Linked DNA regions of Mus musculus: regions 1, 2, 4, 5, 6 and 7 are each reported to be linked to region 3. Evidence: microRNA targets listed by miRTarBase, many of them from high-throughput screens and not tested one by one. Region 3 holds a microRNA gene; each other region holds the end of a gene's coding sequence.

Region 1 (4,068 bases), not on the chromosome of region 3:
CCATCCTCTAGGTTGGCAACTAGAAGCTGGACCTGGCCAACTGAAGTCTGGTGACAGAGGCAGTGGGTAGTGCTGTATGCCAGTTAAAGATTGCACGTAGAGCTCTGTGCTGGGCAGGTGCTCTACCACTGAGCTATTATTCACATTAAATCCAAGTGTGTGTGTGTGTGTGTGTATGTGTGTGTGTGTGTGTGTGTGTGTGTGTGTCGGCCAGCTCATTGCACTGACTTCTGATTCCTAGCACTGGCAGCAGTTTGAGCCCCAGCTGACCCTGTGGGACGTGTTTGGAGCAAGCAAGGAGGTGGAGGAGCTGCTAGCTCAGGGTCTGCTGCTGCTGGATTACAGGTATGTTGGGAATATTGTGCGGAGGGGGCTTCACAGACCCTGGGAGCTCTTGACTACAGATTGGGGCGTGGGAGGACTGCCATAATGAGTGTGTCACAACTAAATGTTCCCCTCCTTTTCAGAGTGGTAGAAACAAGAAAGACCAATAGAGGAGGGCATGGGCTGCCAGGGGTGGGCAGGAATGGGCCTTTATGGTAAAGTTAGAGTCATATCCAGACCTCTCGGTTTTCCAGGGGTCTCCGGTGTTCCTGGGAGGGCCTAGCTGTGCTGGACTCCCTGTTATTGACCCTCCTACCTCAACTCCAAGAGGCCTGGCAGCACAGGCCTTCCTCACCCGTGTCAGGAGGATGACCAGACATCCTTGTATCATGAGGAAGCACCAGTTGGACTTAGAGGGCTGGGCCAGATGGTGGGCATCTGCCGGTAGGTGCCATCTCTGCTCTGAGGTGCTATTGCTTGGCTCTGACACCCCCATGGGAATGGATGTGGTCAGTTGGATGGACGGCTGCCTCTGTTCTGGGGACTGGTATCCCTCACAGCATCCCAGGAGTCACAGGTCAGCAAGTGTTCCCTGCCTAGGATGTCCTCACCACCCCACTCCCACCCCCCGCCACTGGCTTTTGTTGACTTTTTTGGACACCAAATAACACAAAATCTTTCTACAGGGAATTGTATCTATCAGAGAAGCCTCATTCTAGAGAGAAGCCCTAGCTTGTATGGTTCAGTAGAACTAAATCCCCTCCAGGTACCTTACACAGAAGAAATATAGGAACAAGATGTTTACAAAACCATTTGAAGGGCTGGAGAGATGGCTTGGTGGTTTGCTCTTCTAGAGAACCAGGGTTCAAGTCCCAGCAGCCATGTGGCAGCTCACAACCATCAGTAACTCTCATTCCAGGGGATCCGGCACCTTCTTTTCACCTCTTCGTGTACCAGACACCTGTGTGGTGCATAGATATTCATCTAGGCAAAACACTCATATGCATAAAATAAAAAGAAATAAATCTAAAAAAAATATTTTTATCCAAGGCCACTTGTTGTACAGAAATGTAACCTATACTCTATGTATGTCTCATTATTTCCTAAGGGTTGAATTCAGGTTCAAAGTTTTAAACATTATTTTCATTTTTATTATTTATTTGGATTTTCAAGATGGGGTCTCTCTGTGTGGCCTTGGTCCTGGAGCTCACACTGTAGACCAGGCTTGTCTAGAACTCAGAGATCTGCTTGCCTTTCTTTGCCTTCCGAATGTAGGGATTAAAGGCTTGCACCAATACTGCCCACATTTTATTAAAGTGTGTGTGTGTGTGTGTGTGCGCGCGCGCGCGCGCGCGCGCGCGTGTGTGCGTGCAGCCATGGAGGCCAGAGTAGAGTGTTGTATCTTCTGGAGACAGAGTTACAGAGGAATGAATGTGAGCCATCTTTTCTGAGCACCACACTCTGGTCCTCTGGAAGAGCAGGGAGCACTCTCTCCTGCTAAGCTATTTCTCCAGCTTCTATTTTGAATGTAAAAGATTGTGGGGTTTTTTTTCCCCCTGAGACAGTGCCATATGTACCCGACACTGCAAACTCACTGTGTGGCTGAGGACAGTGTTTAGCATCGGACCCCCTGCTTCTGCCTCCCGAGTGCTGAGATCACGGGCATGCACCACCACACCCATTTTTCTGTGGTTCTGGACTTCATGCGCTGAGGCAAACACCACTATCTAAATCCCCAACCCTATCAGGTTCAGTATTATTATTTTTTTAATTTAGATTTATCTTTCTTACTATTTAAGTATTTTGTGTGCATGCCTTTGAATGTGCACACCATGCGTGTGCCTGTTGGATCCCCTGGAACTGGGCTTGCGGATGGTTGTGAGCCACAATGTGGGTGCTGGTTATTGAATGTGGGTCCTCTGCCAGATCAAATAAGTGCCCTTAACTGTTGAGCCATCTCTCCAGCCCCGAGGGTAATAGTGCACAGCTGCATCTTTCCTTTGAAATTAAGGAGTTCATTATCTTGGCTTGAGACCATGAGACCAAATGTCCCATCGCCTGATAATCATTTGACCAGTGACTTTAGCACCTACTAGTGATTCTTTCCCAAATTACTTTTAAAATTTACATTTGTATTTTTAAACATTTACTTATGTCTACAATTGCTCTATCTGCATGTACACCTGTATGCCAGAAGAGGACCTCAGATCACACTATAGATGGTTATGGGCCATTACATTGGTGCTGGGAATTGAACTCAGGACCTCTGGAAGAGCAGACAGTGCTCTTAACCACTGAGCCATCTCTCCAGCCTCAAACTTAGGTATTTTATGTATATGAGTGCTCTATTTGTATATATGCCTGCATGACAGAAGAGGACATCAGATTATATATAAATGGTTGTGAGCAACCATGTGGTTGCTGGGAATTGAACTCAGGACCTATGGAAGAGCACCCTGTGCTCTTATCTGCTGAGCCATCTCTCCAGCCTAGCCAAATCATTTCTTAAATTGAGGATTGCAAAGTATTGGTTTCTGATTCTATTATTCCTTCCAAATTAATTATTTTCCATTTTCCCCATAAAAAAGAACTTTCCTCTGTTATTGTTACAATGTTAAGAATCAGACCTATGGCCTTGTTCAAGCCAGACAACCTCCTTCTATGGTAGGAATCTCAAACCTGTAAATTCCTAACCCTGTAACAGGCTCATCCCATCGAATAGACCTTAGGTTGTCAGACTCCCTGGACGGGGGGGGGGGGGGGGGCGCTGCCATAATGGGTATGTCTCAACTAGATGTGTCCTTGCTCTTCAGAGGGACATATTTCTTCCTGATAACGCAAGACCTTTTTTCTTCTCCCCTGCCGCCTGCAGGGGAATCAGAGACAGTCTGGTGATGTGAAACCTCCCCCTTCTACTGAGATCTATAGGAAGGGGCCCCCCACTCTACCCTGGGGAACTTGGATCCTCTTCAGAACCCTACCATGTTGTCTGTGTGTCTATGACACTGGGGCTTGAATGTTCCCGCTACTGTACACTGTGCCGCTGTGCCTGTGTGTCTGTGGTACTGATAATTCTCTTAATAAATCTCTTACCCCAAAAGACAGACCTGCGTAGCTCCTCCTTGAGGCACTTCCAACCTTTCATTCTTGACTTGGAAATTGTATGCCATGCCATGCATGCGTGTGTGTGTGTGTGTGTGTGTGTGTGTGTGTGTGGTTTGTTTCATTGTGCTAGGGCTGGAACTCAGGACCTGTCACTGAGCTACGTTCTCAGCCTAAAGCTCCTTAACTAATTCCTTATCGTGGCAAAGGGTACCACGGTGCCAGAAGTGATTTAGTAACCCTGCAGGTGGAAGCATGCTGACTTCTAGTGGATGATGAAAGGCCAGGGGATCCCCCACACTGCTTAGGAGTAAGCACGTGTATTTCCCATGTGCCGGTGGGTGTGAATGCCAGTCCTTCTTTGACCCTGTGGTAACGTGGTAACTGTTACTTTATTCATGAACTACTCACCTAGCACCAGTGGTCTGCCAGGCACCGTACTGGGCATGAACAGAGGAATAAGACCTGTCTGTGCTCTCAGGGAGCTTGATGCTGCGGTGACAGATGTTCAGAGATAAAGCGTTGCTGGTTAAGGTGTTTCAGACAGCTATGGGAGCCTGGAGGGCACTGGGTTTTGAGGGGCTGAGAGGAAGAAAGAAGGCGAAAGGTGTTTGTCTTATCAAATCTTGTACCCCTAGAGCC
Region 2 (4,068 bases), not on the chromosome of region 3:
TGTGATATATCAAAACTAGACGGCTTCTGACAGTTCATTTTTTATTACACAGCAGATGTATGAACTAACCAGAGACTAGGACGACTACCTCTTTTAAACAGGAATTCTTTCTACAAAAGGTACTGAAATGGCCTGTCAGATTATTTAGGAATTAGTTCAGGGCAAAGTGGAAATGATATGAAGTTATTTCTCAGAAGTTAGTCAGGACCCCCTGTAACAAGGGCGATTGCTAGCACCGTTTGAGAACATTTATTATTACTAGAAGGTAACAAAGGAAGAGAAGAGCAGCCCTAAGAATTTTCCATTCATGTTTTCAGATAGTAATGACAGAGTAGCTTCTCAAAGGCTTTTGTGGAGCTTAAGTTCTTGATAAGTAGAAATATTTTCTGTATGTCCAGGAAATGTAAACTGTGCACTTTTGGGATGGGTGCCTGTTTTAACAGCTGGGGCTGCTTTTAGCAGATAGAATACGAGATTTTACAAGTTTCTGAAAACACAGCCTTGACTGGCCAGTTGCCTCTACAATGTTTACAAAAGTCTCAGGAGAATCTACTAGTGTATTCCTTAGTCAACTTTGCTCACTCATAAACCAAGGGAGACTTTATTATCTTCCTGAAGGATTTGTGAGGCAGGAGGGGACAATCTCAACTTCAATTTTGAGGTAGGTAAAATACATGACTTTCCAGAATATAACATCCGTTGACCTTTATGGCCACACCATACCTCACAAACTAAGGGACATACAATCCCTAACATAGAATTGTTTTTTGTTTTTTTTTTAAAAAAAAAAAAACACTGTCAAGATCAGTTTAACTCATGATCTCTGAGAAGTTCTACCCTCAATGAATCATCACTCTTCATTTTTTTTTCTAGAATCCTGGGATTATGTCAATAACAAGAATTAGCACATTATACTTCATAGACATTAATTTCATCTTTCATGTACATTATGAATACAGAGAAACAACTCATCTATTTTCAATGGTCACATGCCATACCAATTGTGTAAATGTTTCCTGAAAAAAATATTATTTACAAGTGTTAAATAATTTTCACAAATGGAGGCAAGGATTTGTTTGTCTTTGTAAACTTGGAAGAGTTAATTTATGGAACTCTGTGTCACCCTATGGTACAAGACTAATTTTATTAAGAAGATGAACAAATTTATTATAAATTTATATTCTTACTAACCCCAGCAGGAAACACCTTGAATTGAAACATATATGGTAGTTTCCAGCCTAAGTAGAAAAGGTATCAATAGGACACCATATTGGAATTTTAACTTTTTAAAACTATTAAGACCAATTTGACATGTGTCCTTTTGACTATCTTGCAAGACTACCTGGAAGCAAGACATATCCTGCCCTGTCAATGGCCCAGATAAAGCTAATCAGAAACCAAACAGCAACATAAAACAAATGTGGGGACATGGACTGAAGATTCTAGGGCCAACAAGGCAGCCAGGGAGAACATGTGGACATTGTCAGACCTGAGTCTTAGTGCTCCTCGCCCGCTAAGCTTTGTGTTTACAGTCTGTGTAGATGCCAGCTGCCCGAAGTGCTTTACTGCTCCTCCACACCCCACTCACAAAGACAGCTAAATATTCTGTGGGCTTCACACCTCCCACACGACCCCGTGGCTCAGAAAACAGGAGTCAGTGTTTGTACACCAAAAATGCTAATTGCCTTTCTTTATATGATTCTTTTATCTTTGCAGCTTTCCTACACCCCTAAAGAGCCTGTACTTTAAACGATCAGGACGGTAGTGGCTAGAAATACCTGTCTAGACTGCTCAGTATCTACATACCGCGAAAAGTTGTATGTTACCATGCATATTTCAAGTTAACTATGTCTTCCTCTAATTTCCACCTACATTGTCTAAAATGTCAAACTAAAGAGAACATATTAGATGATTCTTATTCTCTCCATTTTGATATGAGATGCATGTTAACTTAGGAAAAAAGTTGACAACATTTCTGGAAATGTTGTTAGTGATGATGAACAGATGGCCACCCAGAAATCAAAGTGATAGGTGACTACTTACTGTGCACAAATATGGTGACGAGGGAGTCCTACTTTTGGGACACAGTGAAAATCCTTGACCTAATACAAAGCTTAAGGTGAAATTCAGAGTAGAATAATTATCATAAAAATAGACCAGTTTTAACTAGCTGCAGACATCCCAAAAATCTTTTTAAAAACAAGCAACCTCTACAAACCAAGTAGGCGTTCCTAGATGTTAGACTACTACACTGTCCTCCACAGCTTCAAGCACGATGTCAAAGCTGATGGTCTAGCTAGCTCTGGTGGCCATTTGGGCTACACAGTGAAGACTGCAAGTTCAGGGCTTTGTTTTTATAGAAACTTCACTTCTAAGAAAAAAATTTTTTTTTTCTTTTTCAAACTTTTAAAAAGAGCAGTTAAACCCAGTAATTAATTAATAAATGCTATGTATAGTTTTCAGCTAGGATTTAATTCCTCTTTGTTTTGAAACAGTAACTGATTTTCAGCTGAACCTGAAGAAATGTTGGATACAAACTTGTAAGTATCCTTTGATATTCGTCTATTCACATTCTGTGTCAAAGCTGAAATGTACTTAGAGCATAGTACCCAGACTAAAGCAGATATGAGATATGTTTATAACCTACAAAGTTACAAGAGAGATTCCAGTTCAAGCTGACAGAACATACACTAGACTTAAAGCACTGCATTAAGAACACCACAAATACCACCTTTGGGTAACTACGATGGACGTTCTATTTGGAAGACAAGACTACAGAGAACGAAGACTGCACGGTGCTTACTTGCTCACCGCTCACTTGCTGCTTTTCTTTCTAAGGTGCTCTTCGTCACAGTGTGGCAGCTGTATCTTTGTGACTAGAAGCCAACTCTTAGGCTAACTAAAGAAATTCAGAGTTTTGTTTAAAATACTTTAAACACCTGTAATAAACTGCGGAATTTGCCAAGAATAGAGGTACTCTGGTTAGCAATCCAAAGGGTTTAAATATGAATGCAATCCATAAGAACAGTAACAACAACAAAAATAGAACAAGTTTTTTTCTCAATAAAAATAGGCCAGTCGCTAGAAGGTACCATTCTGTGAAGACATTATTTTGAAGCCCTAGTCAAAGGAGCCTTGGAATTTGCCACTGGGTTTCTACTTCGTGCCCGAAGAACCTTATGAAAAGCAGTCCTGACACAACAGAATGACATTTGCAGAATGTAATACTGGAGTGAGAGAACTGAGGTTGATGGATACAATCACATTCCTGTGTATTGAACTGTTACATCTTAATTATTCATTCAGCTCATTGGTCCAATAGCATAAAAATAGAGAACAGCATCTTGAAGTTTATCTCATTCCATGTTCAGAGACAAATGGCTTAACCATTCTTCCCATTATTTTCTGGAGGCAAGTCCTTGTTTACAGTCTGATAGCAAGCACATGCTGGTAGTTTCCAAAGCTACTGTATGAAGAGGATGCTGAAGGCCATCACTATACAGCATATGGCGACATAAGGACTCTTGCGTTCCCCTGTTGAAGAAAAGAAGACATTCCTCTTGGTTGAACGAATGACTACTATGGATATGATAAGGCTATAAGAGAGGAAAAACAAGGACCCAGAGACAACAAGCAAGAAGGTACATTAAAACTTCAGCTCAAGGAAATAAACTTAAGGGATCTAACCCAAATCCAAACCTATTCTTATGATGTACTGTATTCATGTGAGTGATCATGCCACAGTGCACATGTGGAGGTTAGAGGACAACTTCAGAGTGGGTTCTTTCTTTCTGACTTGATATGAATTTTGGATACTTAACTCAAGATTATTAGGCTAGTGCCTCTTCCTGCTGAACTTTGCTGCCACATCATGAGATATTATTATTATTCTAACTCTACTTTGTAGTTTGCAAGTGTGTACTATGTAGATGTCAATGTCATGTCTCAATGTAAAAGGGCTGGATGGACATGGCTAGCGACTAAATCCAAGCTATTTATGAGATGTGTACCGGAGAGCACCTATGCTGTGCCTCCAGGGCCAAAGGCTAGTTAGTTCTCTTCCTGAGA
Region 3 (4,068 bases):
GCAGTATGGAAATCTAGTGCAGTAAAAACTAACTATATGAAGGCAATCCAAATGAAGTCTCCAAATAATGAGGGAGTCAGAACTCTTAATTGCCATGTCTTGTCACTAAATGAAGCTTCCAGTGCTGGGACTGGGTATAATCCAGTTGAGCTGTTAGCTAAAAAGGTCCCATGGAAATCACCAAACAACTCAGGCTGTTACTCAGACAATTGGTTGCTCTCCACAAATTGACAAGGGCTCATTGCTGAAGACAATACCTACACAACTCATTGAAAATGGAAAGATCAATCTGATGCCTACATAGGACCTTTGCTCCCATTTTATAATGCCTATGACATAGGAAAGTATTCTGCAGGGTACCAAAAGAGAAAAGCAAACAGCAACTCAACCACAAATCCTTAGATCTACAATGGTGACACAAACTCTGTGGGGGTAATCAGCCTATGTCTGATTTGACGTAAGGCCTATTACATAGCCATACCCAAACCCAACACTGATTGTGTCATCAAGAACCAGAGTCTAGATATCATAGAAACCTAGAGTATAACCAAATATCACTGGTCAAAAAAATTAGTAACAATAACATGACTTCTAATGATATTCTGCTATAGTCACAGTTCAGTGCCTTTCAGTCATCACCACAAGGGCTTTTTCCTACAGCAGATGGCAATAAATGCAAAGAGCCAAATCTCTCTCTCTCTCTCTCTCTCTCTCTCTCTCTCTCTCTCACACACACACACACACACACACACACACACACACACACACACACACAGAGCGAGAGAGAGAGAAGAGAGAGAGAGAGAGCACTAAACCAGATATCTCCATAAAATCCCTCCCCTGAGAGCTTAGAGAACCCCTCAGAAGAGGAGGCAGAGGAATAGGGGAATCAGAAGAGAGAGTGGACACCAGGAGAACAAGGTTCTCTAAAACAACTGGGCAAATTTCATATGAACTCACAGAAATTAAAGCAGCAATCAATCACAAGGCCTACATGGGTCTGCACCAGGTCTTGTGCATGCATATATATATATGTGTGTGTGTATATATATATACATATATATACATACATACACATGTATATGTATATATACATACACACACATATATATATTCATGTATATATATATATATGTATATTCATGTATATATATGAATGTAATGAGGCCTTGTTGTCAGTTTGTGGAGAGCAACCTACTGTCTTGGTAACAGCCTGGGTTGTTAGGGATTTCCATGATACTCTTTCAGTTGACAACTCAATTGGATGATATCTAGTCCCAGCATTTTGCGGGGGAATATATATAATATATATAAATATATAACTTTTATATATTTATAAATATATAAATAAATACATGCACATATGCATATATATAAATAAAAGTTTTCAGTTTAGTACTTTTATGAAATTTATGAATATGTAAACAAGTGGGTCTCTGATTCTTGTGCCTTCTCTTGGGCCTCTTTCATTTTTTTCTGTTGGCTTAGCTTGTCCAACTTCAATATGATAGTTTTCATTTTATCTTATTATATTTTGTTTTGTTATGTTTTGTTATCTCCCAGAAGCCTGTTCTTTTCTAATGAGAGACAAACAGGGAGTAGTATATCTGGATGGAGAAGAGTGGGGAACAAGTGGGAGGAGCAGAGGGAAGGGAACTGTATTCAACTGTATTTAAATTATACTGTATGAGAAAAGAATCTGTTTAATAAAAGTAAGGAAAGAAGCCAGAGATAGTGGCACAAGCCTTTAATCCCAGCAGTCAGAAGGCAGAGACAGAGTTCCAGGCCAGCCTGGTCGACAGTGTAAGTTCCAGGACAGCCAGGGCTACACAGAGAAACCCTGTCTCAAAATAACAATAAAGGCAGGGGAGAGATGTCTATTAGATGTGTGTGGTAGTGCTCACCTTTAATCCCATAGATCACCATGCCCAGCTTCCCCTGACCCCCCAAAATCTTGTTTTGTTTTGTTTTTTTAATTAAACTTAGAGCTAATTGTTGTTTTCCAACAGGAAGACTGAATTGTTGTGTTTGTTTATAAAGTATCAGAGTGATAATTAGCTTTATTAAGTGCTATTTTAGGGGCAGGAAAGATGGCTCAATGGGTAAAAGTGCTTGCCTTCAAGCCTGACTAATTGAATTTTGTGAAAGCAGAGAACTGACCCACTTGAATTGTTGTCTGACTTTTACATGCACTCCCTTAGGTACTCATATGTACAGATACATGCACATAATAATAAATAAATGTAATATAAATATTTTTTAAATTAATGTTTTAATGTAGCATTATTGTTATGGCTTAATGAGGTTCATACACTTAAAGTAAATTAAAAGCTAAGTCTTCCCTCTAGGTTCTAAGCCCTAGGACACCTAGAAGGTATGGATAAGGTCCACCAAAGTCATCTTTCACTTACCCATGTAGCCAACAGTACCAACTCTTCCTCGTACCATCTCCCCTTCTGGGACTTCCATAGCTAGACCAAGATCTGAAATTCGGATGTGTCCTGTGCAGGTTCACACACAAAGTACAGATCATTGGGAAAAGTAACATTTTAGTGACAATTTATAACTGCGAGGCAAAGTCCATCTAAAACGTATTGATGAGGGCTGGGGATATACCTCAGTAATAAAACCCTTGTATATGATATATAAGGCTTGTGATTCTATCCCTAGTGATAAAAACACACAAAAATGTATTAAAAATAGCAATATCTAAAAATTATATTTAACTTTTACATATGTAATGTACTTTCATATAGCACACTGAGTTTCACTAACAGCAAGAAATTATATTTATACCTAAAGAAGCCCTTTAACAGTAAATCACCACTAGATAAAAACCAGAGGAACCATATTTATTATTTACTCATAACTATCAGTTAAGCTACTTCACTTAGAGAACTGTACTGTTCAAATGTTTTGGGTATAGGAAGGCATAAATGTTGGCTACAGTCCTATGAAAGTAACTAATTATGGAAAGTGTTCTTCTAAGGACCCCTATCATAGGATTTAGACTTACCCTCATAAGACACCTAGTAAACTACTCAATGTATTTCAATATAATTTGTTCACTTCCCTTCAATGCCAACTCTAGATACCAGTGCAGCATAACCCAGCACAAATCACAAGTTTAAGAGTTGGAAGCAGTCAAATTACTTCTTAATTATTCCATAAATGAAATTTCAAGCACCTTTCTTCTTCATTGGGGTCAGTACATAAGTTAGGTAACGAGCAGAAAGCAGTGGCAGAAGTAAATATAAAAGCTAAGTCTGATAATGTCCCATGTTTGCCTTCAGTAATGAGCTACACTAGCCTATTCTTTCCAGGAATCACTCTGGCTCTGGTTTATGTTTCCTACTCCACAGAAAGATCCTTTTAGCTATTAAGAATCACTAATCATAAGCTCCTTCTCAAATTGCTAACCTACTTAGTGTACATACAACCAGCATCCTAGCAATAGGGCTCACTCTCAGATCCAGAGATACCAATGTCAGAGGCACCCATGATGCTGATAAGGAGCTATCACATCATGACCAGTCCCCATAACAGCATTCTACACCCCCACTCTGTGACAATTGATATATGATAAGGGGACAGCATAGAGGGCAGCACGCCAAGTTTAGAGGGCTAAGGAATAAAAATAAATAGAGTCAATAGCAAAAAACAGGAGGGCAAATACTCATTTGGGGTTTATTTTCACCTACTTCAAAACATTAATCATTAATATATGGAGTCTCTGCTTTTGTGTAAGTACTGGTGATGGCAATGTCAATTGGTTTTTGTGTGTGTGTGTGTGTGTGTGTGTGTGTGTGTGTGTGTGTTTTAAAGAACACATCCCAAAGAGTTTCTTTTAGTTATTGTTTCCAGTCTGCGTTATTAACTGACTATGTCCACATTAGCTTTTCTGACAAGCCTACACTTAAGCATGGAAGGCTCTCTTACCATGATCATCAAGGAGGATATTCTCTGGCTTTAGGTCTCTACAAGGAAAGAAACAACAAAAATCTGTTATTCAGAAATCAGTTCCTGAGAACTGAGAAGAAACAGCCAGCGATCTCTTGATGGCAAAAA
Region 4 (4,068 bases), not on the chromosome of region 3:
GACTTCAGGTCCTCAGAGCAGTCAGAGCTCTTAACTGTTGAGCCATCTCTCCAGTTCTGATTCATTTTTAAAAGTTGGTTTGAGTATAGGGTGAGATATGGATCAAGTTTTATTCTTCTGCAGATCAATATCCACTTTCCCGGCACATTTATTGAGCAAACTCTTTCCTCTCATATATATTTTTGAACCTTTGTTATGTTGGCTGGAACCATATGGGTATATTTCTGGGTCCTCTATAGAAATCCACTGATTTTCATGTCTGGTTTTGTGCCGTATAGTTTTGTTACTGTGGTCTATGGTATATTTTTAACTCAGAGATTGCAGTACTTCCAGAACCAAGATTTCTACTAAGACTGTTTTGGCTTTTTGTTGTTTCTGTTGTTCTTTCTTGTGGTCTTATACTGATTTTAGGATTGCTCTTTCAGACTCTCTAAAGAATGTCACTGGAATTTTTTTTTATAAGGATTGCACTGACAAGCCTTTTTATAATATTAGTTCTAGGGGCTAGTGAGATGGCTCAGTGGTTAAGAGCACTGGCTGTTCTTCTGAAGGTTCAAATTCCAACAACCACATGGTGGCTCACAACCATCCATGAGATCTGACTTGAAGACAGCTACAGTGTACTTACATATAATGATAAATAAATCTTTAAAAAAATATTGATTCTGCTACCCTATCAGCATAGGGGATTTTCCTGTCTTGAGTCTTCAAATTCTTTCCTCTTGTGTTGTAAAATTTTCATCGCAATGTTCTATCCTTAAGTTTATTCCTAGAAACTTTATGTTTTGTTTGTTTGTTTATATTTATGTGTATGACTGCTTTGTCTGTACCACATGCATGCCTGGTGCCTGAGGAAGTGATGTGGGTGCTAGGAAATCAAACCCTGGGTACTTCGCAAGAACAAGAGCTCCCCTCTGGGAGTTGGTGCTTTTCTTACAGCTTTCACATTGTTTCTTTATTTTATAGTCTTGGTTTTAGTGGTATTCAGACATACATGAAAACAAAACCATCATGTACATAAAAATAAACAACTGAAAAATTAAAAGACAGACATGCAGAGGCAGGTAGAGCTCTTGAGTTTGAGGCCAGCCCGGTCTACAGAGTGAGTTCTAGGACAGCTAGGGCTACACAGAGAAACCCTATGTCAAAAAAATAAATAAATAAATAAATAAATAAAAAGAAAGGAAAAAAGAACAAACCCAAAATAAACAAAGAAGAAAGGTGAGAAGAGTAGAGGAGGGGAGGGGAGGGGAGAGGAGGGGAAGGGAGGGGAGGAGAGAAGGGAAAAGGGAGGGGAGAGGAGAGGGGAGGGGAGAAGAGAAGAGAAGAGACGAGACGAGACGAGACGAGAAGAGACAAGAAGAGAAGAGAAGAGAAGAGAAGAGAAGAGAAGAGAAGAGAAGAGAAGAGAAGAGAAGAGAAGAGATTTATTCTAGGCTCCTGTCTGCAAGCATTACCAAGTATCATTAACAGTGTCAGGGATTGGTTCTTGCCCATGGGATGGGTCTCAACTTGGGCCAGTTATTGGTTGGCCATTCTCTCAGTCTCTGTTCCATCTTTGTGCCTGCACTTTGTTTCATATCACCCACTGCCAGGAGTCTCAGCTAGAGTCATCCTCATAGACTCCTGGATCCCAGGTCTCTCGTATGTCCTAGAGGTGCCCCCACCCTCAGGCTGTCAATTTCCATTTATTCTCCTTGTCCTCTCTCCTCATCTCTCCCCATACCTGGTCCTCTAAGAGGCTCCACCCAGCATCTAAATGAAATGGATGCAGAGACCCTCAGCCAAACATTGGACAGAGCTTGGGGAGTCTTATGGAAGAGTGTGGGGGGGGGGGAGAATTGAGGGACATAGAGGGGATAGGAACTCCATAAAAAGACCAACAGAGTCAACCAACCTAAGTCCTGGGGGCTCCCAGAGACTGAATCACCAACCAAAGGACATACATGGTGGTCCTTACCCCCTACATACACACACACACACACACACACACACACACACACACACACACCCCACTGCTCTACCACAAGTGTGGTTGGAATTACCTTTTTTTTCCACATAAGAATTCCAGAGACAGTTATCATTTTTTAATAAGTAAATAACCGTTATAACTATAAATAAATAACCATAAATAACCATTTTAAAACTATACTAATTTAGCATATTGTGAAGGATGGGCGCTGTGAGCCACTGCATGTGTGGAGTCTGAGGATAACCTGCAGGGATCAGCTTGCCCTGCTATGTACCATGTGGGGGATCCAGGGCTGAACTCAGGTTGTCAGGCTTGGCAGCAAAGTGCTTCTGCTTACCTCGCCATCCTGCCAGCCCTAGACTGGGAAGTTTTTATTACAAGGAAATCTGGGGACACAATTTTCAGTACTCTTAAAATAATTTCTAAAATGATTCTCAGAATAAATACTAAATGACTTGGGTTGTCCCTAAATGTTTTCCTTGCTAAAAATAATACCAATTAGGATTAAGACTGACATTTTTTTCTACCTGGATATGAATATATTCCTTTATTAACAATACCTAAGAATCGTGTAGACTCAAGTGGTTCAAAACTTACATGTATATATTTATAGAGAGAATATACAGAAAAAGACTGAATATGTTAATGATTATCTGAATAGTGGATTTCTAAGTAACTTTGGTTTCTTTTATATAATCTGTATTTTGTATATTTTTCTATAAGAACATGTTAGCTTTAGAATAAAAAGGACTTTATCCATTTATTCTACTACATATATACTAGTAAGTTCTGTCCAAGGAGATGTGAAGAAACCTGACTTACCGAGCAGCAGTGCAAAGGACAGTGCTGTGTCCACCTTTCCTCTCGTGCTTCTTTATTTAGCTTTTTATTATCAGTAGTTTTAGCTGTAAAATGGTGGGGCGATGCACGGGTTCCAGTCTGTCAGAAGAATCCACTGTGGGAGCTGTGCTCAGCACGCAGACTTTTGGGTTTTTTATGTTTTTTTGTTTTTTACTCAGTTGTGTGTTTTTTATGCATACAGATAATCTCAGGAATGGTTTCCAGCCTCTTGTAAAACTTGTTACTTTCACAAGCAAAATATCTGCCTGTCACACAAGCATCTGCAATTGCCTATCTTAATGTATAGCACACCTTAAAGAGCACATTTTCGCATGCACTTATTCAGTACATTATTTTAAGTAATGAAACTTGTTTGTATCAGGGACTTTAGAGTAAAGAAAAACATTAAGAATAAGTACAAAAAGATTCTGAATTTACAATAGAAACACCCTTGCCCAGATTTGTTGTCGTTGTTAATGAGATTTATCCTTTGATTTCTCTTTCTCCTTTTTTTTCTGTTTTTCTTCTGCTTGTTTTTCTAAATAGTCTTTAAGAAGATGGTCCAGCTGTGGTTCACACTGGCTTGCATGCTGCAATCCGTCTTCCCTTCCTGAAAAGATACAGAACACGGGAATCGTTCCTTACCAAAAGGGGCTTCCACATTACTGTCCCCTCTGGCATCTCCCAAGGGGCCATGGGCCCAGTGATTCCTTACAAATCGCCCCTGAGTCAGTTTTAATTGCATTTTTTTTTTACCTTCACAGTGTTGGATCACACGCCCCCATAGTCGATTTTTCCTCAAACAGGACAAACTTCCTACAATCAATAAGTGTCTCCTTCCTCTGGTCAAAGCAACGTTCATTCGTTTCTCTGAGTCAATGAACCCTACTTGTCTTGTCCTCACGCAGGACAGAATAGTGATTTCCTTCTCGGCACCCTGAAAGGCATCCACTGTGGACACCTGCACAGCTTTAACATCAGGATGGCCGACGTCCACAGCACTGAGTAAATTGCAAATCTGCAGACAAACAAACAGGGTCAGAAAATGCAGAAATCAGGAAAAACTCCATCTCTAAACTGGGCAGTTCAACCATTCAGGAGTAAATTCAGGAATATTTTTCTTTCTTTCTTATGACTCACATGGATTTAGGTAGAAAGTATCTAAAATTGGAAATGACAATATTATTTGTGATGAATAATCAAAAGTGATTAACCTATTGCAGGGATTTTACTGGTATATGCTAATTTGAGCAGAT
Region 5 (4,068 bases), not on the chromosome of region 3:
AGTCCTCGGCCCCCTGTAGGTGCTCAGGCTGTGGCGGAGGGCGTCTGTGAGGCCACACCTGCCCCTACAGCCTCCTGTACCCCTGCAGAGGCAGAGCTACAAAGTCAGGGTCTCCCTGCAGAAAATACCCCGGGTCCGAAGCCCCATAAACCAGAGGCAAACACTTCTGGTCAGGCCCCACTGTCCCCAGCCCAGGGCTCCCTATCTGTAGTAGAGGCAAAATATGATATTTCACCATCTCCAGAGAGTGAGGGAGATTCTGCTGTGGTGCCCGGCTGTGAGTCTAGGGAGCAGCCCCCACCAGAAGTCACAGACATCCCCGTAGGCCCTTCCACTGGACTCCCCAGAGAGCCCGATGCTTGTCTGAATGGAGTAGACTAAGCCTTGTTGATTCTTCTGGCTGCTCACCTGACTGCATCTTCCTCACAGAAGAAAGTCTGTGAAAGAAACTTCTAGGACTAGGAAGAGTTAGAGTCAAGACATTTTTAAAGTTGTACAGAACACTTCCAGTCTTTGCTGCTGTTTGCAATTTATAACTAATATGGAAATTCTCTGTGATTTGGCAGCCAAACACATCAATAGCAAATATACATTACTTTCCCATTACATTGGTGCCTTAATCCAGTTTGTTAGCAGTAAGATTTTGTATTTAAGGACTCCCACTATAACAAATAAATACACTGAAATATTACATTTATTTCCACAAATAACCCAATAAGATCTATAATGGATATCCAGGTTCCATTTAAATAGCATAATATACAGTGTACTTATGTGTATACACAATACACATAAATACATTTATGTATACACATACACATGTATTTTCATACGTGCATATAAAGTCATCACACAAGTATATTTTGCTCCTAACAGATTTTTCTCTATTGCAAGATATGCTTGTAAAAATTTTTCTATCTTACTTACACTCTGGACTACAGTAGATTAAAGCTCTATGGATCAGAAATAGCACATGTGCTACAATGCCTGGACACAAAGAGGACCACAAGAGGCTTTTAACAGAAAGGGGAAAAAACACAAACAGGTGCTTCTGATCTTCTCAGCCAACTTCCTCCCAACTTCCCAGCATCACCTCCTGGGTTGAGGCAGCCGCCTCCTGGCTACCTGTGAGAAGGTGGTTGGAAATAGAGAAAGCACCTAAGTAAGATTTGAGAGGTTGAGTATCCTCAGCTTAGAGGTCTCAGCCTCTTTGACTACTGATATCTCAAGAAAACACTTTTTGTTGTCTCTGACATTGTCTTTATCTCAAAGCATCTATTCCTTCCAAATTTCCTCCTTTGCGTCAATGTGTGTGCCTGGCCCACATCTCAATTAATGTTAAGTAAAATGTATTTTTCCAAAACGGAAATACATACGAGCTCTCAATAGGAGTAACAAGGCTTACAAAGCTAACACATTTTCTGCTCTAAGAATTTTTGAACAGGCAGAAGTACAAAATTTTTAAAAGGGGGGGGGGGCCTCCTACTCATAATTCAAAAATAACAGGCAAGGACTCCATAGATGTCAAAAGCAAGAAGCACTTGGGATTACCCAAACAAGTTTTATACTCTCATTGTTCGCAAAAACCTCTAATAACACTGGCAGCATAAAATGCTCTGCCTAGGCTCAAAGAAAACTGTACTAACAGAACAGGGAGAGGTGGGAAGGAGGGAGACAGAAGGTGCATAAAGAGAGGACGGTCTAATCTAACTCTATGTTAAGAAGTTGAACACAGGTAGAAATGTGGATAAAGGAGGATTCTTGAAAACTCATCCAGGAAATCACTCTTCAGTGGTGCACGTGGCTGCTTGCCAATGCACACGAGGAGCTGGGAGGCAGTAGCCATATGTTGAAGGAATTATAAAACTGTATAAAATTTATTTGAAGTAGACAGTAAGGGAAAGAACAAAAATACCATTTGGGGAAAAAATCAGGGGAAAAAGCATGCCATTATTTGAGAACCCATGTGTTTTCAGAGGCTTTGCATATTATAACCACACGGGTATCCAGCCAAGTTCAACACCACTGGAAATTAGACATTCAATTAACTCAAAGCCAAATATTCACTACACTAATCCCTTCTCTCTGTTTACAGGAGCTGAGCTTCAAAGAACAGAGTAGGATCATCACAGTTAGGTCTCAATCCAAGAGCTTAGGAAGACAAACAGGCAGGAGGCACTGACATCCAATAAATTAAGTGTTCTCATATCCAAAGTTTATTATTTTCATCCAAGAGGGTTTCACAGCAACATATCACTCACAACTGTGTGTACCTTTGGCACAGTTTCACAGACTACACCTTCCCTGAAATCTGTAAAGCTTTAATATAGACTTTGGGAGAATTATTTTAATAGTAAAAGAATGTTTTATTATAGTTCCTTGTGTTCAAACTTGGCTGTACTAATCATAACAACTCATAAGATCTGAAAGCAGAAAATATATCTCTTTTTATGAAGTTCATATAACTATTTTTAGAGATGCCAAGTCTTTCTAGAAACACTGGAATTATTGCTTTCTAAATGTAATAACATAATGTTTATACCAATTAAAAAGGCATTTCTTCCAAGTTTTCTAGTAGGTTTTTTAAATTATTTTTTATTGGATATTTTCTTTATTTACATTTCAAATGTTATCCCCTTTCCTGGTTTCCCTCTCTCCCAGAAACAATCTATCACATCCTCTCTCCCACTGCTTCTATGAGGGTGTTCCTCCATCCACCCACCCACTCCACCTCCCTGCTCTCATTTCCCCTATACTGGGGCATCTATTGAGCCTTCATAAGACCAAGGACCTCTCCTCCCATTGATTCATGACAAGGCCAACCTCTGCTACATATGCAGCTGGAACCATGTGGACTCCTTTGTTGATGGCTTAGTCCCTGGGAGATCTGGGGGGGGGGGGTCTGGTTGGTTGATATTGTTGTTCTTCCTATAGGGTTGCAAACCCCTTCAACTCCTTCAGTCCCTTCTCTAACTCCTCTATTAGGGACCCCATGCTCAGTCCAATGGTTGGCTGCTAACATCTGCCTCTGTATTTGTAAGGCTATGGCAGGGCCTCTCAGGAGACAGCCATATCAGGCTCCTTTCAGCATGCACTTCTTGGCATCCATAATAATGTCTGAGTTTGGTAACTGTATACAGGATAAATCCCCAGGTGGGACAGTCTCTGGGTGACCTTACCTTCAGTCTCTGCTCTACACATTATCTCCATATTTGTTCCTGTGAGTATTTTGTTCTCCTATATCTGATACAGGGCTAATATCCAATATATACAAAGAACTCAAGAAGTTAGACTTCAGAGAACCAAATAACTATTTTAACGATCAAAAACTCAAGTGACAGCAGATGCTGGTGAGGATATGGAGAAAGAGAAACACTCCTCCATTGTTGGTGGGATTGCAAGCTGGTACAACCACTCTGGAAATCAGTTTGGTGGTTCCTCAGAAAACTGGACATAGTATTACCTGGGGACCCAGCCATACCACTCCTGGGCATATACCCAGAAGATGCTCCAACATTCAATAAGAACACATTCTCCACTATGTTCATAGAAGCCTGTATAGTAACCAGAAGCTGGAAAGAACCCAGATGTCCCTCAAAAGAGGAATGTATAAAAAAAATATGGTACATTTACACAATTGAGTACTACTTAGCAATTAAAAACAATGAATTCATGAAATTTTTGACAAATGGATAGAACTAGAAAATATCATCCTGAGTGAGTTAACACAATTGCAAAAGAACACACATGGTATGCACTCACTGATAAGTGGATACTAGCCCAAAAGCTCCAAATAACCAGGATACAAATCACAGACCACTTGAAGCTCAGTAGGAAGGAAGACCAAAGTGTGGGATTTTTTAATTCCTTTTTTTTGGGGGGGGGCTATATTTTCCCATGATTTAAGAATACCTAATTAAAATATGGCATTATTCTATTTTTGGTTGAGTTTGGGCTTTCTAAATAAAATGTATATGTAATAAATCCTTTGAGGATATACATATACATGCTATGAAGGGGGAGGGGCTAAGGAGTAGAGGGAGGGGGAGAGATCATAGCAATAAGGCT
Region 6 (4,061 bases), not on the chromosome of region 3:
CCTAAAAATTCCAACAGAGAACTCCTAAACCTGATAAACAGCTTCGGTGAAGTAGCTGGATATAAAATTAACTCAAACAAGTCAATGGCCTTTCTCTACACAAAGAATAAACAGGCTGAGAAAGAAATTAGGGAAACAACACCCTTCTCAATAGCCACAAATAATATAAAATATCTCGGCGTGACTCTAACGAAGGAAGTGAAAGATCTGTATGATAAAAACTTCAAGTCCCTGAAGAAAGAAATTAAAGAAGATCTCAGAAGATGGAAAGATCTCCCATGCTCATGGATTGGCAGGACCAACATTGTAAAAATGGCTATCTTGCCAAAAGCAATCTACAGATTCAATGCAATCCCCATTAAAATTCCAACTCAATTCTTCAACGAATTAGAAGGAGCAATTTGCAAATTCATCTGGAATAACAAAAAACCGAGGATAGCCAAAACTCTTCTCAAGGATAAAAGAACCTCTGGTGGAATCACCATGCCTGACCTAAAGCTTTACTACAGAGCAATTGTGATAAAAACTGCATGGTACTGGTATAGAGACAGACAAGTGGACCAATGGAATAGAATTGAAGACCCAGAAATGAACCCACACACCTATGGTCACTTGATCTTCGACAAGGGAGCCAAAACCATCCAGTGGAAGAAAGACAGCATTTTCAACAATTGGTGCTGGCACAACTGGTTGTTATCATGTAGAAGAATGCGAATCGATCCATACTTATCTCCTTGTACTAAGGTCAAATCTAAGTGGATCAAGGAACTTCACATAAAACCAGAGACACTGAAACTTATAGAGGAGAAAGTGGGGAAAAGCCTTGAAGATATGGGCACAGGGGAAAAATTCCTGAACAGAACAGCAATGGCTTGTACTGTAAGATCGAGAATTGACAAATGGGACCTAATGAAACTCCAAAGTTTCTGCAAGGCAAAAGACACTGTCTATAAGACAAAAAGACCACCAACAGACTGGGAAAGGATCTTTACATATCCTAAATCAGATAGGGGACTAATATCCAACATATATAAAGAACTTAAGAAGGTGGACCTCAGAAAATCAAATAACCCCCTTAAAAAATGGGGCTCAGAACTGAACAAAGAATTCTCACCTGAGGAATACCGAATGGCAGAGAAGCACCTGAAAAAATGTTCAACATCCTTAATCATCAGGGAAATGCAAATCAAAACAACCCTGAGATTCCACCTCACACCAGTGAGAATGGCTAAGATCAAAAATTCAGGTGACAGCAGATGCTGGCGAGGATGTGGAGAAAGAGGAACACTCCTCCATTGTTGGTGGGATTGCAGGCTTGTACAACCACTCTGGAAATCAGTCTGGCGGTTCCTCAGAAAATTGGACATAGTACTACCGGAGGATCCAGCAATACCTCTCCTGGGCATATATCCAGAAGAAGCCCCAACTGGTAAGAAGGACACATGCTCCACTATGTTCATAGCAGCCTTATTTATAATAGCCAGAAACTGGAAAGAACCCAGATGCCCCTCAACAGAGGAATGGATACAGAAAATGTGGTACATCTACACAATGGAGTACTACTCAGCTATTAAAAAGAATGAATTTATGAAATTCCTAGCCAAATGGATGGACCTGGAGAGCATCATCCTGAGTGAGGTAACACAATCACAAAGGAACTCACACAATATGTACTCACTGATAAGTGGATACTAGCCCAAAACCTAGGATACCCACGATATAAGATACAATTTCCTAAACACATGAAACTCAAGAAAAATGAAGACTGAAGTGTGGACACTATGCCCCTCCTTAGAAGTGGGAACAAAACACCCATGGAAGGAGTTACAGAAACAAAGTATGGAGCTGAGATGAAAGGATGGACCATGTAGAGACTGCCATATCCAGGTATCCAGGGATCCACCCCATAATCAGCTTCCAAATGCTGACACCATTGCATACACTAGCAAGATTTTACTGAAAGGACCCAGATGTAGCTGTCTCTTGTGAGACTAAGCCGGGGCCTAGCAAACACAGAAGTGGATGCTCACAGTCAGCTAATGGATGGATCACAGGGCTCCCAATGGAGGAGCTAGAGAAAGTACCCAAGGAGCTAAAGGGATCTTCAACCCTATAGGTGGAACAACATTATGAACTAACCAGTACCCCTGAGCTCTTGACTCTAGCTGCATATGTATCAAAAGATGGCCTAGTCGGCCATCACTGGAAAGAGAGGCCCATTGGACACGCAGACTTTGTGTGCCCCGGTACAGGGGAACGCCAGGGCCAAAGGGGGGGAGTGGGTGGGTAGGGGAGTGGGGGTGGGTGGGTAAGGGGGACTTTTGGTATAGCATTGGAAATGTAAATGAGCTAAATACCTAATAAAAAATGGAAAAAAAAAAAACAAAAAAAAAAAAAACAAAAAAAATAAAAAATAAAAAAATAAAAAAGAGAGCAGGGGAGGGGCGTGGCATTCATTATACTTAGCCATGAGATAAATACCAACCCAAGCTACTTTTTCTTACCCTTATCAGAACATGTCTCTAACATGAGACAAAAATGTCAGTGTGCATTTGAGTAAACAGAAATTCTTTATTCATTGTTAGTTGAAATGCGACCTAGTATGGTCATTGTGGAAATCAGTATGGTGGTCTCACAACAAGAACAAAACAACACACACACACACACACACACAAACCCCCAGAAAACTAGAACTGTTTATGAACTAGCTTCCTACTCCAGGGCACACAAAGGATTCTATCTTTTACAAGAGAAACCTGCACATCCATGTCAATTGTTCCTCTATTCACAATAGCAAAGAAATGGAATCAGCCCAGATGTTTATCAATCAACTGATGGTTGTATAATGACAATGTGGAATCATACACAATAAAATTCTTTTCAGATGTACACCATGAAATTTGTATAAAAATACATGGGGTTAGAAAGTAAAGACCTTAAGGGAAAAAGATGTTAAGAAAGGAGGAGGGGACATTGACAGATGAGACATGGAAGTGGAAAGTAAGCTATGGGGTGTGAAAGAGAACAAAGGGGGTCAAAAGTATGGGGAAGAAAAATAAACATTTTTTTTTCTTAAAATGCCATAAGGAAACCTAATCCTACATACGCTAACTAAACATAATTTATAACTCTTTTTATGGCTTACTTTTAACTTAAATAGGTCAGTGTTTAGAAAGGTGATTTCTAGCAGGGCATGGTGGTTACTCCCGTAACCCCAGCACTTGGGAGGCAGAGGCGGGTGGTTCTCTATGAGCTCGAGGCCAGCCTGGTCTACAGCCAAGTCCAGGACAGCCAGGGCTCTGGTTATACTGAGAAATTGTCTTGGAGTTGGGGGCAGGGAGGTAACTTCTATAAAGCATCTAAATTTGAATCATTCTCAAGAAGATTTGTATACTAAGAGCAACCCAATAGATCAGCCTGCTTACAGGGGTCTCCTTACTTTGTTTGTTAGAGTATTTAGAACAACTAGGTCACATGGGTATATCATATGGGCTTTATTTTTTTTAAACATACATAAATAGTAAGTATGAAAAAAATAGGATTCAAAGTGAGAGTTTAAATTTACTAAGTGTGTTTTGGAGAAGGTCCATATTCATTTTATTTTCTTGAACGCTTATATTCTGAAAGCATCACAATTAGCCTATTACGCAAGGTCTTAATCTTGTTGGAATACTGTTGTTCAAGTAATTTCTTCATATTCTGTCTCAGAAAATCCAAAGATGGAAGATTATGACAATCCGGTATATTCAACATGATGTGAAAAAATTCCTCCCACATATCCAAATGAGGAAGCCTAATAAAGAGACAAAATATTACAATGGATAAAATGCAACCTTAACGTTCATAGCAACGAGTTCCTCCATCTACTTTGTATAGGTGTGGACATGTTAAAAAAACAACTGTCATCTACCTGTATCTTAGCAAATCAAGAATCCATCACAAACAGGAGAAATTAAAAATCCAACGACATGTCTAAATACACCTTATTCTAAAAATATGATTTAAAATAGCCTTTTTGCAATAGTTCTTTGGTAGAAAAATTATTTTTTAAAGAATAATCT
Region 7 (4,068 bases), not on the chromosome of region 3:
TGCTGCCCACAGAGGTACTGGAGCACTGCCACGTGCGTTCCTGGGTCAGCCTGGGCTTGGTGCACATCACCAATGCAATGTTAGCTTTCCTCTGCTTTCTGGGCACTTTCCTGGTACAGAGCCAGCCTGGCCGCTACAACCGTGCCCGTGGTCTCACCTTCGCCATGCTAGCTTATTTCATCACCTGGGTCTCTTTTGTGCCCCTCCTGGCCAATGTGCAGGTGGCCTACCAGCCAGCTGTGCAGATGGGTGCTATCCTAGTCTGTGCCCTGGGCATCCTGGTCACCTTCCACCTGCCCAAGTGCTATGTGCTTCTTTGGCTGCCAAAGCTCAACACCCAGGAGTTCTTCCTGGGAAGGAATGCCAAGAAAGCAGCAGATGAGAACAGTGGCGGTGGTGAGGCAGCTCAGGGACACAATGAATGACCACTGACCCGTGACCTTCCCTTTAGGGAACCTAGCCCTACCAGAAATCTCCTAAGCCAACAAGCCCCGAATAGTACCTCAGCCTGAGACGTGAGACACTTAACTATAGACTTGGACTCCACTGACCTTAGCCTCACAGTGACCCCTTCCCCAAACCCCCAAGGCCTGCAGTGCACAAGATGGACCCTATGAGCCCACCTATCCTTTCAAAGCAAGATTATCCTTGATCCTATTATGCCCACCTAAGGCCTGCCCAGGTGACCCACAAAAGGTTCTTTGGGACTTCATAGCCATACTTTGAATTCAGAAATTCCCCAGGCAGACCATGGGAGACCAGAAGGTACTGCTTGCCTGAACATGCCCAGCCCTGAGCCCTCACTCAGCACCCTGTCCAGGCGTCCCAGGAATAGAAGGCTGGGCATGTATGTGTGTGTGTGTGTGTGTGTGTGTGTGTGTGTGTGTGTGTGTATGTACGTATGTATGTATGTATCAGGACAGAACAAGAAAGACATCAGGCAGAGGACACTCAGGAGGTAGGCAACATCCAGCCTTCTCCATCCCTAGCTGAGCCCTAGCCTGTAGGAGAGAACCAGGTCGCCGCCAGCACCTTGGACAGATCACACACAGGGTGCGGGTCAGCACCACGGCCAGCGCCAGCCACGCGGGACCCCTGGAATCAGCTTCTAGTACCAAGGACAGAAAAGTTGCCGCAAGGCCCCTTACTGGCCAGCACCAGGGACAGAGCCACATGCCTAAGCGGCAAGGGACAAGAGCATCGTCCATCTGCAGGCAGGATCAGACCCGGGTCAGTTCTGGACTGGCCCCCACACCTGAATCCCGGAGCAGCTCAGCTGGAGAAAAGAGAAACAAGCCACACATCAGTCCCATAAAATTAAACGCTTTTTTTAGTGTTTAAAATAGCATTTACACAGAAGCAGCATTTACACAGAAGCAGCTCTATGTCAACTACCCAGTCACTCAGACTTTGACACAGTGTCTAGTGTAGATGTGTGGGGCCGCTGTGCCGGGATGGCAGTGGCACATGATGATGGGCAGCCACCAGAACAGAAACAGAACAGGGCCCAGCTCTGCAGCTCTTGTGTTCACTGTCACCCACCACTGAGACTGAGACAGTGGCTAGGTGCCAGGTCTCTCTCCTGTCTCTCCTACTAGCTACCCTTCACATACCTTCAGTACAAACTGTGTTGTCATGTGCCAAGTAGCAGGTGGGGAAAGGGGCATGCAAACTGCCCCTTTGGGTAACTAGCTGCCACCCTTAGAGCAGGCAGGCTAGCAATAAATAAATAAGTTAGACCCCACCTGGGCAGCCAGAGAGGTTTGAAGGCTCTGTCTAACCCCTCAAAAATCCCACCTTGGCCTGACAGGTGAGGCCCATGAACTTAGCGACAGTCAGCCTGTGTCCCTGTGCACAGTTCTGTGAGGCTTTGGGGCAAGGGGTACCAAGAGCCCAAGAGAGCCTTTCTTGTTCTAAATGGAGGTCACTTCCAAAGAAGGGAACCAGGAGGTGGTCCCTGAGACTTGTGCTGAGGACTTAAAGTCAGAGATGTCTCCTTACAAGACTCTATAGATACTTGAGCTGTACCACCATCAGCAGCCCCAAGAGCAGACAAAATGTCAAGCCAATATCCTGGTGGTATGGCTGCCCTCAGGCCCTCCTCTGTAGCCTGCTCCCTCTGCCCTGGCCCAGAGCCCACAGCTGATCTATCCTGGCTGGCCACCACCACGGCCAGCGCAGAGCTCCTGGCACAGCAGGAGCACAGACTCAGCCACAGGCAGCGCTGAAGACATTGGTTGATCATCACATGATGTCCACAAAGAACTCACAGGGGTTTCCCATGGCCTTTTGGAAGGACTGGCGGCTACCTGTAAGTTCTGGAGGGACAGCAGCCAGCTCCCGGACGGGTGGCCCTCCAGGTGGCCCACCCACTACTGCATAGGCCTTTGTAAGGGGGTGCAGTGGGGGGAGCCCTGGGGCAACAGCTGAAGCCTGACTTCGAGGGCTACTGCCACGGCTAAGCTGGCTGACAGGCCGCTCCCACCAGCCGGTGCTACCAGACCCACTTGGTACTGTGTGGTCTGATTCACTGCCACTACCCCCAGCTCCAGTTGCCCGGCGCTCCTCTCGGCCTGGGGTCCGATGGCTGCTCCGTGTGGACCCACTGCTCTTGCTCCCTAGGGGGAGGGAAGGGGACAACAGAGTCAGCACGAGGCCTGGCCACTTCCAGGGCCACCAGCTGCTCCCAGACAGTCAGGGCAGGACCTGGTAAGCCTGGAGATGGTAGGGGAATGGCAGCCATGCAGATACCAGGAACAGCTGAGAGGCGAGAAGCTAGGGGCAGTGGCAGACAGCAGGGACAACAGGGGCCAGCCTGGCACCCCACACCTAACCCCAATGCTTGAACCAAGGGTTAATGTTACAGCTGAGAAACTAAAAACCAGCGAAGGCCCTGTGTGCCCAGCATTCCCATTAGCCATCCTGGGTTCACCACCCAAAGACCCAACCAGGGTCCACCCAACCCCAGGACCCTGGTCATCTAATTTGCTTAGCCCCTGTCCTGAAAGTAGTGGGAACCTGAAAACACGTGCTGGCTGGGGACATGCTGAGAGGGACACAGGGGGACCTGGCTTACCGGCCCGAGAGTCCACTCTGCTAGTCCTTCAGTCTAAGGCTTGCTCAGCACAAAGCAAGGGATAGCACAAGTCACACACCAGTCCAGTGCTCACCAATGGCTAATAGGACGATTTTGGGCCAAGCTGAGCCTGGGTACATGCAAGGGCCTGTCCATGGTCAGGATTCACTCGATAGCTTCCCCTTGGGCTTTGCCACCCTCTGGCCCAACCTCTCCTGAGTCTTTCTCTGGACCTTGTAGCACAAGTGTGCCCCACTCTGCCTAAGACCTCCACATCAGTCCATCTCCTCCTGAGGGACACCCACCCTTCAAGATCTTCAATATCCCTGGGATATGCTTTAACACTGATATGCTTTAACAGTGTTGCTTGATACTCTTATCTGGCACTCTGTTGGGATGCAGGCTCCATAACTGATAAAGCCCATTCTCCCCCTAGCTTGGGGCCTAGAGAGTGCCCCTACCTGCTATCAGTGGTTACTTTCATTCTTGCCATATCATCTCCTGGCCTCTTGCCTCTGCCACCTAGCACACCAGGCTGTCTTCCTATTCTCTAACGGCTTCTACCCACATCAGCCCCTCCCTGTCCCACACACTGACTCTTGAGATGGAACCCACCGGGACTCAAACACACAGCAGGAGCACAGAGGGAAGCGTCGGGGCCAGGCAGAGCGTGGGAGTGGGAGGGAGTGGGAGGAGGGGTGGCACGCCTCTCACCTTCACTCTGCTGGCTCCCAGCACTGCCGCTGCCGCAGCTGAAGCCAGGGTCCTGGTAAGCAGGCGGGAAGCAGGGCGGGGGTCCTGGGTACTGGTAGGGGTAGCCTTGACCCAAGGGCCAGGGTACTGATGGGTGGGGCAGTGGGGCCAGTGTGTCCTGATCTGAGGCTCCACTGGAGCCACTGTTGAGGTTCAGGGATGCGAGGTCTGGCAGGGAGGGAGGGAGGGAGGGGTAAGTGAAGGCAAATGAATGAGGCCACAGCAACCCTACCCAACCG

What was found. Region 3 holds the annotated microRNA mmu-miR-467g (UAUACAUACACACACAUAUAU, at 1,090-1,110, shown strand). A microRNA usually pairs through its seed, bases 2 to 8, with sites in the 3' UTR of a target mRNA and lowers its output. Matches are read on the target gene's strand: a 7mer-m8 pairs with bases 2 to 8, a 7mer-A1 pairs with bases 2 to 7 and ends in A, and an 8mer does both.
Region 1: the mRNA of Rsad1 is a reported target of mmu-miR-467g. Seed matches in the 3' UTR shown: 7mer-m8 at 1,408-1,414 and 8mer at 2,654-2,661.
Region 2: the mRNA of Tmem167 is a reported target of mmu-miR-467g. The part of its 3' UTR that is shown has no 7-base or 8-base seed match.
Region 4: the mRNA of Zgrf1 is a reported target of mmu-miR-467g. The part of its 3' UTR that is shown has no 7-base or 8-base seed match.
Region 5: miRTarBase lists Txlnb as a target of mmu-miR-467g. Seed matches in the 3' UTR shown: 8mer at 803-810.
Region 6: miRTarBase lists Bub1 as a target of mmu-miR-467g. Seed matches in the 3' UTR shown: 7mer-m8 at 3,510-3,516.
Region 7: the mRNA of Tas1r3 is a reported target of mmu-miR-467g. Seed matches in the 3' UTR shown: 7mer-m8 at 901-907, 7mer-m8 at 905-911 and 7mer-m8 at 909-915.

The regions. Positions count from the first base shown.
Region 1 is chr11:94,539,158-94,543,225 of GRCm38, reverse strand. Rsad1 (radical S-adenosyl methionine domain containing 1) reads left to right here. Exons shown (of 9, transcript NM_001013381.2): 8 at 242-345; 9 at 579-3,428. The coding sequence ends at 696. Among named protein-coding and RNA genes, the nearest start is that of Rsad1, 8.0 kb to the left of the region's middle.
Region 2 is chr13:90,103,841-90,107,908 of GRCm38, reverse strand. Tmem167 (transmembrane protein 167) reads right to left here. Exons shown (of 4, transcript NM_025335.3): 4 at 1-3,534. The coding sequence ends at 3,464. Among named protein-coding and RNA genes, the nearest start is that of Gm24507, 6.9 kb to the right of the region's middle.
Region 3 is chr5:34,729,914-34,733,981 of GRCm38, reverse strand. It overlaps Mir467g (microRNA 467g), which reads left to right and starts at 1,010; the gene lies at 1,010-1,129. Grk4 (G protein-coupled receptor kinase 4) reads right to left here. Exons shown (of 16, transcript NM_019497.2): 10 at 3,940-3,977; 11 at 2,412-2,501.
Region 4 is chr3:127,616,021-127,620,088 of GRCm38, reverse strand. It overlaps Zgrf1 (zinc finger, GRF-type containing 1), which reads right to left. Exons shown (of 26, transcript NM_197997.2): 25 at 3,569-3,830; 26 at 2,066-3,422. The coding sequence ends at 3,286. Among named protein-coding and RNA genes, the nearest start is that of Gm40147, 11 kb to the left of the region's middle.
Region 5 is chr10:17,843,100-17,847,167 of GRCm38, forward strand. It overlaps Txlnb (taxilin beta), which reads left to right. Exons shown (of 10, transcript NM_138628.3): 10 at 1-2,564. The coding sequence ends at 381. Among named protein-coding and RNA genes, the nearest start is that of Gm20655, 9.5 kb to the left of the region's middle.
Region 6 is chr2:127,797,646-127,801,706 of GRCm38, forward strand. Bub1 (BUB1, mitotic checkpoint serine/threonine kinase) reads right to left here. Exons shown (of 25, transcript NM_009772.2): 25 at 2,555-3,793. The coding sequence ends at 3,598. Among named protein-coding and RNA genes, the nearest start is that of Mtln, 7.2 kb to the left of the region's middle.
Region 7 is chr4:155,856,543-155,860,610 of GRCm38, reverse strand. It overlaps Tas1r3 (taste receptor, type 1, member 3), which reads left to right. Exons shown (of 6, transcript NM_031872.2): 6 at 1-1,343. The coding sequence ends at 425. Dvl1 (dishevelled segment polarity protein 1) reads right to left here. Exons shown (of 15, transcript NM_010091.5): 14 at 3,791-3,997; 15 at 1,308-2,618. The coding sequence ends at 2,245. Among named protein-coding and RNA genes, the nearest start is that of Tas1r3, 4.8 kb to the left of the region's middle.